Drosophila melanogaster: one gene and its partner. The protein of the gene in region 1 purifies or fractionates together with the protein of each later gene. This does not show direct contact. Each region holds a gene or a part of one and is shown on either strand. Other genes may lie near its edges.

Region 1 (6,786 bases):
TGAAATACATGCCTTTTCTCTCATCTTTTTCACTTAACAATTAGTTGCTATAAATTGTTTGTAGCCGTCGATGGTGTAGCATTGTATATCGATTAATTAGAAAAACTGAAAAAATGAGCTTGGTCCCACTAACCGAACAGCTGTATAGACGATATCAAATTAAGTAACAACAAATATAAATCATATACTGGAAAATATGTTGTGCCGGCGATCATTGTTGGGCGTAACGACAAAATGCCTAAGACTTTCGTCCACGCAGCAACACAGATCGGGTCAGCCGGAATGTGACCAAGCCATCGGCCTCTTGCCCGCCTACTCGGATGCAGATCGTTTGAAGATCTTGAAGACGATTAATGAAAGCAGCATGAATCAGATAGCCAAGTAGGTAGCCACTCCTGCACTTTGCCTTGCACAAATACTGATTATCCCGCCCAGCTACGACATAACCAAGGCAAGGGCAACCAAGCTGCAAAACTGGAAGAACCGTCACGGACCGCTGCAGGAACTCAGCGACATCCTGTATGTGGAGGGATTCGGACTGAAGGTGACCACCAAGTTCTTTAAGAGTCTGCTTGCGCCGCCGAGCAGTGGGAGCGCACAAGTAGGGGAAAATAGACCAAAGACTGCACGAGTCGCGCCCTTTATAACACCGGCCATGGACGAGGGACAGCGTTCACGTATTGTATCTGCTGTAGGGGTGCGCATCGGAGTGACCAGTGTAAGCTGGGCGCGATTAAAGATCGGAAGCAACGAAGCTCCCTGTCTGCTCACGCACTGGCAGCACCATGAGCTGAACGACAAGAAGCTGCATTTGTCAGAACTTTCCCGCCGATGCCTCTATGTATCTCACCAGATACCCGTGGCCGATTGCTACGTCATGGAGAGTCCACAAATGGCCCAGGCCAGCAGCAACCCAGGGAGCATCGATCAACAGAACGTGAACATCCAGAAGGCCCAGGTTTCCGCAATCATGAGCTTCTCCTTGATGGCCCGATCAGATGGCGACGAGAACAAGACGAACAACGTCTACTACATGCGACGTTTTCTCTCAGCCCGACTATTTAATCACATGGTGGGTACTGAGCGCGTGTCGTCCGAGGATACGATATTGGCCATGATGCGAACCCATTACAACGTGGAACATCAGATCCCCGAAACAGAGCCCCCGTTGAAGCTGCACAAACAGATCGACTTTCCCGCTGACCTACGCCTCGAATTCTCACAACAAGAGCGCTACCAGCGCGAGCTTCTAGGCCAGGCACTTCTCCTCAGCTTAGCCTTTACTCGTCTCGTGCTTCAGCAAGATCCGCAAAGCATTGCATCTGTATCTCGCAACTCTAAAAACTCCTCTCCAAGTCGAGCCACTTAAAAAGCTACAAGTGTAAGAATATGAACTCGACTCTTTTTGGCCTTTGCACTTTGTATTATAATGACCCGTTGAACAATTTTATGCACAATATTTAACAGGGGTTTTAATAGGAGCAGTTTCTAATGGCACAACTGCATTTCCATGGAATACCATAAACATAGATTATTTTGAGCTTGGCCCCACTTAGCTAATTAGAATTTGTCGCCATCAAAAATATCATGTCTTTCTTTCATTACTGCCCACATATTAGGTCTTAAAAATATTTATTTAGCAGAACTAAAATAAATAAATACTTGATGCTGGCCCTGTCCGTTTGAACGAATTTATTTTTAAATACAAGTAATAGTATTTGTACAGTTTAATGCGATAAGAAAATTATCTATAAGGAATCATTGTTTCTTAGTCCAATTGATAGACCAAAGTGGCTTATTTTTTAAGTTTCCCATCAGCGCCGTTTACGGAGAAGTCGTTGTCTGAAACCTTCCGAATTAAACGCGAGTGCGTCGGTAAGTTCCTAGCGTTCCATTCCCGCTGAGCACTAGCGGCGATACCGTGATGCTTACTAGAATTACGCATGCCGAGGCTGGGGAATTCAGAAACTTCGTTTAAATTTGCGGCAAAGGAAGTGTGGTCTATGGGCTTGTAGGAGCTTGATGCGACGGAAAGTCGACTGCTAGAAAGCGAACAAGCTTCGGGTTGGCTTTCCTTCTTGACCCCAGATCCGGGAAGCGAATAAAAAGAGTCGAAGGAGGACTCGTGGTCGAGTGAGGAGGCGTACGAGCTTATGATAAGGTAGTTGGGTTTTGTTTGGGCAGGTATGTGCTTTCCGGGTTGGACGGTTATGGCCAGGTCTCCGCACATAAAATCAGTGAAGGTATACGCCCATCTAGTCACCATACTCTGGGTACAGTACTTGGTTCGATCATTATCCTCGTGGTACTGCAAAAGTAATCAGGAAGGAAGTCAACTAGGGGTTATCAGAATTGGGAACAGAATCTTACCTGACACGCAATCCCTGCGGTAAACTCGAAAAAGTCTTTCTTAAAAAAAGCATCCGTCGCGAATTTGTTGATTTTCTCGTCATTCAAATCAGCGACATTCATGACCTCCTTCTTCAATATGAATAGCAAGTACTGGATATCAAACACCTGGATTTTTTCGCCCCCGTCCCTGAAGTCATCATCGCACTCCAAATAGCGGAAGCATGACTTCACCATGGTAATATTTTCGGCGGGTGTAAAGACTACTAGGGTCTTGCCTTTTCCCTGGCATTTGGATAAGTAGTCAACAATGTTGCGGTACAGCTTGGTCATGTTCTTCTCCCCCAGCGCGTTGGGCGGCAGCGGCAGGTCGTGAGTGGTTGAAGAGTGAAGCAGGGCATCGCTACCTTGCCCAAAAATGATCTGACCGGGGTCAATCATGGTGCTGTAGATGGATCGGATTCCCTCCTTCAACGAATATTCGCATGCCGCAAACTCGGCGGGCACATAGACGTCGGTGGTCAAGGCTTTAGTGAAGTAGTTGAAGGCAACGAAGACAAACTTGGCATTCTCCAGATCTGCGGCAGCGATTGGAGTTAGTCGAATCCAAATGTCTTCGAAATGTGTGACTTACCATGGGACATCTTGGCGTTTAGCACGAGGCGCTCGATGGTACGTTTCATGTCCATCAAGCTCTCGGTGGCCTCCCTTTGGGCCTTGTCCACCTGGCCGTGGCCGTTGGAACTTTCCCTTTTGGCGCGTTGCGCCACATTTGCGTCCTTGCCGCCTGAGTTGTACGGACCACGCTGCTGGGTGTTCATTTTCTGAAAAGGCTTCATTTATTACAGGGTAGATCCGCAGCATCGACCAAAACTTACCTCCCATATGGTGCCGCAGTGGGAAACAGCCTGCGCCAGCGTCATGCGTCGGCCCTCGGCGTTCCGGTTTCTCCACTCGTTTACGAACATCATAAACCCACTATGCTTCTTAGGAGCCATCTTTACGGGCGTGGCAAGAAGAAGGTCGGTATTTTTGACGGGTAAGGGTAGGTGTTGAGCGCGTGTGCGAGCGAGGTAGCGACTAAAGGCGGTAACCAATGAACAGCACGAGCAATTTATATGAATGTTGTTTGTATGTACGTCTGACCCTACAGAAATGGTTACTTCGGAATGTCGCGGGTGGCTTCTCTTCTGGCTTCTCTCACGCACGATTGACTTCTCTTCCAATGATCTGGTCTGTGGAATATATCACACAATTCTAATGAAGTGAAGCAGTTGTTTTGTCAGACGTCGATTCCGCTGACACTTCAAATATCTATTATTGACTGTTTTGGCGTTGCTGAGCACTAGTATCATTCCAGAACTATCGATTCTGGAATGGAATAAGAGTTTGTAAATTTATAATTAATTTATATTTATAATATAATAATTTATATTTCATAAAAATGGTTTAATCAAACCTAATAGCATAATCATCTATCGTCATGCTTTGTAATCGTATGAATAAACTGCACTTGCAGTTAAAAGCAGCCTAATTAAAGATAATACTGCTTATTTATAAATCAAATGGTCGACCATCGAAAACTAAAAATTTTTTAAATCGAAATTCTCTTTCGTAAAACTACAGTGTAAACAGTTGAGTCGAAAAATTGTACATATGTATGTATATCCACCCACAAAGTCGATGTGCTTTAGGTCTATGAAAAATTCTTTCTTGGAAATGGTTTGTTTAATGGTAAAGTAATAATATTGTTTGTATGTATGAACGATTTGTCTGAATCGGTAAATTCATGCTGAATATGAAAATGGTTTGGTCATCACACCGTTTTTGGTTAAAATGTTGTTGTTAAAATGATAAGCATAATCATTTAGAAAGAACTTATTATACCCGTTAACCGTAGAGTAAAAGGGTATACTAGATTCGTTGAAATGTACATATGTAAAAGACAGAAGGAAGCGTTTCCGATATACAGTAAAATATATACATATATATAGTAAAATTAGTTGTTATATTTTTTATTTGAGTCGAATAAATGCCCCGTCAGTTGACTAAGGACAACGCTAAGAAATAAAAAATGATCGGAGAAATAGTTTTAACGTTTTAGTTTTTTTAAGAGTAAAAATCAAATGCAAATTGAATTGAGAGAACCCTCATTATTTGAACAATATTTGTATCTCGGGAGAGCCTCGCTCTTGGGTTCTTAAGATAAGGAGAAGGTTCAAAGAGAGCAGTCAAATCGGCTTATGTCAGGTTTTAGGATGTTTACAAGAACGGCTGAGTGCCGCTGCCAAAGAATTCTTTATTAGAAACGGATGCTGCGCAGCTGGGATACATTATGGAAAATCAATTAAGTGCAATACTGTTTTAATTGAAGTGGCCGGTTTGGACCACCCGAATACGTCACTATATGTATATATTCATGATCAGCATCAATAGCCGAGTCGATCTGGCTGTGTCCTTCTGTCCGTATGAACGCCGAGATCTCAGGAACTATTAAAGGTAGAAGGTTAAGATTAAGCATACAGATTTTAGAGACAAAGATGCAGCGCAAGTTTGTTAACCCATTTTGCCAAGCCCACTCTAGCGCTCACAAGCCGCATAAAACTGTCACGATCGCACTTTTAATAAATGTGTTGATATATCATCACATTTTTAATAGTCTAGAATTCGTCCAGTAAAAGTTATACTAGATTCTTTCAAAAGGTACAAGCAATTAAGATTAAGATCTCTTGGGCCGCCTGTCTCTCAGTAAGAAATGTCTAGAATTCAGGAAGTAGAAGGTGGATATAAAGTATTCTGCTCTTAATTTTTGTTTAGGAGCAAGAGGGCGGAGAACTCTACAGCCATCAGCTGTTTTTACGCATCCAGTGACAACCGACAAGTGCATCTGTGCACATTTTACAATAGAAAGGTCGCATATTTTTATTTATTTTATAAATATTAACTTTTAACTATGTATGTTTGTATTATTTTTACAAAATATATTTTTAAATATGTATTTTCTCATTTTGTTAAATTTATGTTTTAAATTACAAAACTAATAATTATAGTTCTAGATAGCAACTTTATTTATAAGTTGAAATATTGATGAAATTAATGTTAATGCTTTAAAAAGTATTGCTCACAGTGCCCTGTTGAAATTTTGCAAAAAAATTGCCAAAAACTCCAAATATGTAGAATATGTATGTAAATTTTCTTGAATGAAAATTTATTTCGGGCCGAAAATCGTCTTCTAGCACAAGTACGCACACATATACAATTTCTCGTTTGTATGGTCAATGTATGGCCGTCACGCATCTTTTTATTCTAATGTATTTGGTCCTACGTCATTAGGAATAGCTTAATTAAAAAATTGATCAATTATGCACTCTAAAATTTAGAATATTGAGGCATTACCAATCAAATGGCTATACCTAAGATATTTCAATTTACCATAAGGGCCTTGCACAAATTTACCCAACACTGTCGATAGCTCGGCGCCATATCAGATAAGTTTTACTATGGAAATAGGAGAGCGTGGAAATGGAGAACAGGAGGTGCACCGTCGTTGCCGTGGGTGACCTTGTGGATGAGCTTGGCTTCTGTTGCGAGTGGTGTGGCAAGGTGTACAAGAGTCTTGTCCGCTACCACAACCACATTGTATGCACCCACAAGTTACCTGTTCCGGATCACCAGTTGGTCAACTGCTTCCACTGTCCACGCAGCGATTGCAGATTCCACAAGCATGGACCCGGAGTACAGAATTTTCGGCAAATTGGAAGGCTCCGCCGCCACTACCAGGAGAAGCACATGACAGGACACCTTACGTGCGAGTACTGCCAGAAGCAGTTTCAACTGAAGTCAGCGCTGGTGGCCCACAGATGTCGGCTGAGGCATCCAGCCATCAGGGATAGTCAGTCCGCCATCACTTTGGGGAGGCATGTGTGCAAAAAAGGCTACACGCATCTGGGCGCCCTACAACGGCGCCTCACCTGCTGCCAGCATGGAACACCAAATACTCCGACGGAGGACCAGAAGGATATAAGGGACACGGTGTGTCTGCAATGCAACAAGGAATATGTTGACACCCATCGCTGTTGTGTACGAACCGAGCGAAGCTTTCAGTCTGACCGTCTCATCTTCAGAAAGTCTAGTCAGGAGACCCACGGTAAATCCAGGTACCTGCAGGCGGAAGACTGGCGCTTTCTGTTTGAAATGGAGCAGCTTGTCCGCGGCATTGACGACGGGCTTGTGCGGGACCCTTTGTTGCTCACGGAACTCGCCTCTCTGGTGCCGGTGCTTCAGCAAATCCAGGATTCTGATTTAGAAATAAAGTGACATTATTTGTAACGACCAAATATAACCAAATTGTTGTTATTTGCTGCTCAACACTTAAGCTTAGTGTTGTCTAACAGTTTCATTGCTGGCTGTATGTCCATCGTTACGAACTAAAGGTTT
Region 2 (7,370 bases), on another chromosome or scaffold:
TCAACGCAATTAGATCCTTCATAGTCATCTCCGCAGAGACCGCATACTCAAGTCGTTCGCAGTTGTTAACAGCAAAAATAGTTAGCACATTCATATTGAGTATTTTGTCCAGGTCAGCGAAGACGACTGGAACGTTATTAGCTGCTAGTTGACCGCGTTCCTTGTAGTTTGAGTTTAACGGGCTTGCCAGCCATTTGGTGAACTGAGCAGCCCAGGGCCGCGACAGATGGTGCGTCTGTGGCAGTTCAAACTGATTCACGAAACGAGTGTTATCCTCCGGATCCTCTGTGATAGCAATGCATTTGGCGGGCTTTTTTATCAGATTGAGTATAATGTTTTTAAGGGTTTGATGGGGGATGAAGGGCAGCTCACCAGTGACCAGCTCATAGGCAATTACTCCGAAGGACCATAAATCCACGGTCGAGTTGTAAAAACCATTTTCCACCACTTCTGGGGCATAGTAATGTCGGGTGCCCACCACGCTCTGCACCATGGTCTGGTCGGGAGTTCCTCGGGCGAGTCCAAAATCGGTTAGCTTATAGATTTTTTTGCCATCAACTCCACGTTGGATTACTATATTGTCCGGCTTCAAATCGCGGTGGCAAATCCCACACTGCGAGTGCAGAAAATGTAGGGCCTTACGTAGGGCTCCCAGTATCTGCCGCACCTCGAACTCCGTCAGACCATTAGCATTCTCCGGGCTCTGCAGACGCTTCCTCACGTCTCCACCGTTACAGTATTCCAGCACAATAACAGGCAACTTGGCACTAAACATGCCATTCAGGTACTCCAAAAAGTCCGGATCCTCGATGTCCACGCCAGCCACAATATGGGGAAAGTTTTTAAACTGACGAGACCAGTTCAGCTCCTTGTTCCAACGCTCGCTGAGCTTGACTTGCTGATCGGCACTCAGGGCCCCCATCTCCTTTATGTGCTTGGTGGCTATGTGGAAAATAAATAAACACTTAAGACTGACGCTTAAAATATCTGCCATATCGGCTAACTCAGCCGAAAGGCTATAAGCGACATATCTAATGCGGAGACCACACCAAACGCGCAAAACTCGAGCCCTCTATCACTATCAGTGGACCACCCGGAAACGCATGCCTCAGCTCGGTTTCTGGGAATTGTTGGACAACAAACATGTTCATATGTATATGTATGTTGTTTTTATGGTTTTATTATTTGGATATATACAAAATACAACAAAAAATTTATTTATTTATGAGTAAGGCTGGAAAGGGGGAGGGTGTTTGGGGGCTGGTAATGTGTGTTTGCGAAAAAGAAAATCCTTAAAATATTTATATGTATATGTATATTAGTGTTAGCCCATAAGGTGTTTATAGCTCACCAATTTCACGGCCCGTTGTTCGGTTTCGCCAATGGATCACTAGGCCGAATCCGCCCTCTCCCAGATTCCGGCACCGCTCCCAGTTCCCAAAAGAGTGCATCTTGTTGTTTTCGTTAAGCTTTATTTTATTTACGGAGCTCATTCTTCCAAGAATCTGAATCCCTCCATGGCAATCGGAAAAGCAAAACACCACAGTGATCATACAAGATTTGCGATATTCGATTGCTTATACACTAGTCATCGTTCAGCAGCAATCGCGGTCACGAGAATTTTGTTTAGAGGAGCGCTCAGCTGCAGCCACTTTCAATTGGGATGCATACCTTTAAATAAACTGGACGAATTGGGATACCCAAAAACGTTTTTAATTGAAGCTTAGAAATGGTGGCTTAAAATGTCAACTGCTACTGAAGTCACCCTTCGGTCACTATTTGCTTCACTCGCCTCAATTTTTATCGATTAAGTTATCGCAACGAAGTGACATCGCTAATCAAACAGGTTGTAAACAAAACGCTGAAAAATAACTTTAGTTTAGTGAAAATAGTAATACTCCTGCATGCTTGAGCTAAGATGCGTTTCCACATGAAGAGCGGCAGCGAGGACAATGACATTGTGGCGGCCACAGCCACTGCCGAGCATATCCGCAAGTTTGTCTTCAGCGGATCACCCGCCGAGCGACTGGAGATCAAAATACCTGAGGTAATCCTTAGAACCAGGTGTTCGTGTAGTATCTAAAGTGTCCGCCTACAGCTGCTTCAGGGTGCCTACTCCTTCTACACATGGCCTTGCGCACCAATTTTAGCCCACTTCCTGTGGGAGCGCCGACAGACACTGGCGGGCAAGCGCATCCTGGAGCTGGGAAGCGGCACCGCCCTGCCCGGCATTCTGGCGGCCAAATGCCGCGCCCAAGTGGTACTTACTGACAACTGCATTCTGCCCAAGTCACTGGCCCATATCCGAAAGTCCTGCCTGGCCAATCAACTGCAGCCGGGCGTTGATATCGATGTGGTGGGCCTGAGTTGGGGCCTGCTGCTGAACAGCGTGTTCCGACTGCCGCCTCTGGACCTTATCATTGCAGCAGACTGCTTCTACGATCCCAGCGTGTTCGAGGATATCGTGGTCACAGTTGCTTTTCTGCTGGAGCGAAATGCCGGGGCCAAATTTATATTTACATACCAGGAGCGGAGCGCCGACTGGTCCATAGAGGCGCTGCTCAAGAAGTGGAAGCTGCAGGCTTTACCCATCAGCATGGAGGACATTGGCAAGGAGTCGGGAGTGGATCTGCTGGAGTTTATGGGCGGACACACTATTCATCTTCTGGAGATCACGCGCATCGAAAGCGATGGCTCAATAAATACAACATAACAATTATACAATTGGCTTTTTTTATGCTGAATGTCAAATCTCTCTTAGTTAATGTTCTACACGGGAATGCTCCCAAACATCAAATAAATATTTGCCTGTGGTAATCGCTTGAAATCAATGTTGGCCAAATATTTGGAAATATATGTTTAAAATTTAGCGCGTACCTATCAAAGTTTTCCACCCAGCACACTAATTCTAGGTTTTAGGGGATGCTAGAGTTGTGAGTAGCGGTCACACTGGCGCAACGACGCTGTTGGAAAACTGCGAAAATTATTATTTATTTACCTACCGCGAAACCAAGTAAATTCCGCTGCACAAAAGAGGCTCGAAGTGCTGGAAACGTAGTTAAGTTATTGTTCATTGTTGCTACATTACTTGGCATCCCGGAAAGACCCCGTCGGTGTGTCTTTGTCGAATAAGTGTGCGTGCTTCTGTGTTGTGCCGTGTGTAAGTGTTGGTACGTCGTCGCCTGCGAAAAATCGAAGTTATTGCATTGCGCAGCCCTTTCAAGCCGCTGTCCCTGGCCAGCTGTAAGTCCCGCAGCTCCTCGCCCAGTCCCCGCTCTACGGCGGTACTTGGATCACAATTCTGATGGTGAGTGTGCTAGTGCGTGTACCGGAATGCACTCGGATGCATCGCGATTTTGTTCCAGGGCGTCGCAATTTGTTTGTCGCTAAAATGGGCGATATGTGCTTCATCTGCGGCTCTCAAGTTGCAGCCACTGGAAATTGATAGCCGCTGCAACCATTGGCGGTTGGGTGGAACGGTAAACGACGGCATAATCCAGACACACAGCCCACAGGAGAAACATTTGTTGTTGCCTGCGGTATGATCCGTTAATTCGAACTTGAGAGCGTCGGTGTGCGTGAGAGCTTGAAAGAGCGAAATCAAGAGAGAGGAAGAAACAAAGCGCGGGCATATCCGAATTGAAAAATGCTCTACTCAAACGTGAGCACAGTAGGAGCGCATCAAAACAATATTAAAGAGACAGATGCATGAATAATAAATGGGAGTGATGGAAAATCCACGCCTGATTCAGTCGCAGGCTTTCGTGTGCGTGTGTCACCTTTTGTAGTGGTTGTGCGGGGGGTATTTGCCGTGCCCCTGATTAATTGACTGAAAAAATAACGCGCTATTCAGCGACATGATATCACCCATCCTGGGTGACAAGCCCACCAACCTTTTCCGAAAATCCAAATTTACACTCTCCTATTTCTGCTTCTGTTTGCCAAATAACTGCACTTAGAAAACGACAATCTAAATATGGCCGACCCATTTACTTTTTTCCGCCCCTCGAGCGAAACGGATGGATGATTCTGCTTCCTTGGCCATCGGTATTTCATAGACTATTAAGCTCAATTTTAAAACATCAGCTCGATGACTCCTGACATCCGGAATAGTTCTGCTTCATTGGAAGCTTGGCTAGTTTTTCTTTTAAGAAAAATTCGATTAAAGTAGCTTTTTTATACATATTTATCTTTTTGTTTCGCAGAATGCTGCTTGAGGCTGTTTGCGACTGAGACCATTGAGGAGAACCCGAGTAGCGTACGAAACACGACACAATGGCCGAGGACACAGAGTACAAGAAGTTGCCGGTGGAGGAGCGGTGTGTCCATAAACTATGGAAAGCCCGCGTCGATGGTTACGAGGAGGCCGCAAAGATCTTTCGCGAGCTGGATGACGAGAAGTCGCCGGAATGGTCTAAATTTGCAGGGCTCATAAAGAAGATGGTAGTGGACTCTAATGCTCTGGCCCAGGAAAAGGGTCTAGAAGCGGCCCTCATTTTTGTGGAGAACAGCGGGCTGGCGGGACGCACAGTAGGCGACGTGATGACAGGCATCGTTCAGAAGTGCATTGCGGCGCCAAAGACCAAAACCAAGGAGCTCTCCGTCCAAGTGGCTCTAATGTATGTGGAGATAGAGAAGCAGGAGGCCGTCGTCGAAGAGCTGGTTAAAGGTATGGAGGCCAAGAACCCTAAGATTGTGTCTGCCTGCGTGGCAGCCACCACACTGGCCCTCCGCGAGTTCGGACACAAGGTGATCGGCGTCAAGCCGTTAATTAAAAAGCTTGCTCCGCTAATGTCTGACCGAGACAAGACGGTCCGAGATGAGGGCAAGCAGCTGGCTGTTGAGATTTACCGTTGGATCGGAGCTGCAATGAAGGCACAGATCTCAACGCTACCACAGGTAACGCTAAAGGAGCTGGAGGATGAATTCGACAAACTCAAAGGTGAACGCGTTGAACCCTCCAGGTGTGTTCAAGGATTTCTCTCTATCATTGCCTAGCTAAACCGCTCTTACTTTTAGATATCTAAAGTCCCAGCAGGAAAAGCAAGCGAAGATCGCCGATGCTGCAGCGACCGAGGATGCATATAATGGTATGAAGCCCTCGATATTACAAAAGCAGTGAATTATTGATTTGATTTTGGTTTTCGTATGCAGAGGATGATGGCGAGGCTGGCGTTGAAGAAATCGATCCTATGGATCTTCTAGACCCCGTTGACATTCTCTCCAAAATGCCCAAGGACTTCTACGATAAGCTGGAGGAAAAGAAATGGACTCTGCGCAAAGAATCGTTGGAAGTCCTGGAGAAACTGCTCACTGACCACCCCAAGCTAGAGAATGGCGAGTATGGAGCGCTGGTAAGCGCTCTTAAAAAGGTTATAACCAAGGACTCCAACGTAGTCCTCGTTGCAATGGCCGGAAAATGTCTAGCCTTGCTAGCCAAAGGATTGGCAAAGCGATTCTCAAATTACGCATCCGTAAGTAACTCTCACCTTCTTCCAAATAACGTGTTTTCATATGTGTTCTTCTATTTCAGGCTTGTGTCCCATCCCTGTTGGAAAAATTTAAAGAGAAGAAACCTAATGTTGTGACAGCGCTGCGTGAAGCTATTGATGCCATATACGCCTCCACTTCTCTAGAGGCCCAGCAAGAGTCCATTGTAGAGTCCCTGTCCAACAAAAATCCAAGTGTTAAGTCCGAAACGGCCTTGTTTATTGCCCGTGCCCTAACCCGCACCCAACCAACCGCGCTAAACAAAAAGCTGCTTAAACTTCTGACCACCAGTCTAGTGAAAACGCTTAACGAACCAGATCCAACCGTACGCGACAGCAGCGCCGAAGCTCTTGGTACTTTAATAAAGCTAATGGGAGACAAAGCGGTGACTCCTTTGCTCGCCGACGTCGATCCACTCAAAATGGCCAAGATAAAGGAGTGCCAAGAAAAGGCGGAGATTAAAATAAAGGTTGCAGGTCCAAAGAAGGAGACACGACCTGCATCTGCACCGACTGCGAAAGCTGCTGCTCCGGCTAAGACAGTGGCTGGTAGTGTGGACCCTAAGCCAGTAACCCGACCGGCCACTACAGGGGCACGTAAGGTCTTGAAAAAACCGGCGACGGTTAGTGGAGGAGGAGCTACATCTGCCCCAACTGCAGCTCTTAAAGCGGGTGGAAAACCCCTAGCCACGGAACGCGAAATAACCCCCGAGGAATTGCAAGAAAAATCCGAAGAAATTCTGCCAGCCGAAATTCTTAATGGGCTGGTGGATTCCAACTGGAAGAACCGCCTTGCTGCTGTGGAACAGCTTCTGGGCGAAATAAGCGGTTTTGATGCAAAACAGGCTGGCATATCACAGATCCTGATCCGAACAATCAGTGGACGAAAGCCAGGCCTCAAAGAAATGAATTTCCAGGTACTCAAGTTTAAGCTAGACATAATCCGCAGTGTGGCTGAAAACTATCCACTGACCACGACAACCGTTGATCTGGTGATTAACGAAATAATCGAGAAGCTAGCAGACGCCAAGAATGGTGCAGCAGCTGCAGATGTTTTGTCTGCCTTTGCCGAAGCCACTAAACTGGAGTATGTTGTGGGCAAAGTATTGAGCTTTGCTTTTGAACAAAAATCGCCTAAAGTGCAATCAGAGGCCTTTAACTGGGTTAACAGGTCAATCATAGAATTCGGCTTCCAATTGCAGCCAAAGACACTTATTGAAGATGTACGAAAAGGCGTGCAGAGCACGAATCCAACGGTTCGTGCTTCCGCCATTCAAATGGTAGGCACCATGTCTATGTATATGGGCAAAGCTCTAATGATGTTCTTCGACAGCGAGAAGCCTGCACTAAAGTCCCAGATCCAGGTAGAGTTTGACAAGAATGTGGGCGAAAAACCACCCAAGCCTGTTAGAGGAGTTCAACGTAGCAGCGGTGGAACCGCTGGTAATTCCCCAGACAATGAGGACGATGATGGTGGGGCAGCCGGAGAAGAGGAGCCCATTAATATGGCTGATCTTCTACCACGCGTTGATATTGCTCCACAGATTACGGAGGCATTGCTGAAGGAGATGTCCGACAAGGACTGGAAAACTCGCAACGAGGGTCTGACTAAGCTGCAGGCTATTATTTCAGAGGCGCGGCTAATCAAACCCAGCATTGGCGACTTGGCTCCTGCTCTGGCCCACCGTCTGGTAGATTCCAATGCTAAGATTGCCCAAACGACACTTGCCATTTGCGAGCAGCTTGCCACAGCCATGGGGGCTGGTTGTCGAAATCACGTGCGGAACTTGTTCCCTGGCTTTTTACACGCTCTGGGTGATAACAAGAGTTTTGTAAGAGCCGCTGCCCTCAATTGCATCAATAGTTTTGGCGAAAAGGGCG

What was found. The genes of interacting proteins can lie anywhere in the genome.
Region 2: the proteins of mael (region 1) and msps purify together in Drosophila melanogaster (affinity purification with western blotting; one study listed by BioGRID). This does not show direct contact.

The regions. Positions count from the first base shown.
Region 1 is NT_037436.4:22,721,127-22,727,912, reverse strand, and holds mael (maelstrom), read right to left. Parts: upstream 3,681-6,786; 5' UTR 3,348-3,680; coding exon 3,228-3,347; intron 3,183-3,227; coding exon 2,984-3,182; intron 2,928-2,983; coding exon 2,371-2,927; intron 2,309-2,370; coding exon 1,796-2,308; 3' UTR 1,679-1,795; downstream 1-1,678. Other genes in the region: CG14450 (uncharacterized protein), read left to right, coding at 197-381, 436-1,369; CG14451 (uncharacterized protein), read left to right, coding at 5,872-6,666. UniProt on the Drosophila melanogaster protein: Involved both in the piRNA and miRNA metabolic processes. As a component of the meiotic nuage, plays a central role during oogenesis by repressing transposable elements and preventing their mobilization, which is essential for the germline integrity.
Region 2 is NT_033777.3:16,047,870-16,055,239, forward strand, and holds the start of msps (mini spindles), read left to right. Parts: upstream 1-2,931; 5' UTR 2,932-3,307; intron 3,308-4,008; exon of another isoform or gene 4,009-4,047; intron 4,048-4,205; 5' UTR 4,206-4,275; coding exon 4,276-4,964; intron 4,965-5,019; coding exon 5,020-5,090; intron 5,091-5,154; coding exon 5,155-5,474; intron 5,475-5,533; coding exon 5,534-7,370. Other genes in the region: IKKbeta (I-kappaB kinase beta), read right to left, coding at 1-942, 1,352-1,451; CG5013 (uncharacterized protein), read left to right, coding at 1,919-2,047, 2,099-2,713. UniProt on the Drosophila melanogaster protein: Binds to the plus end of microtubules and regulates microtubule dynamics and microtubule organization. Function in neurons is essential for adult survival, and is important for climbing behavior and activity.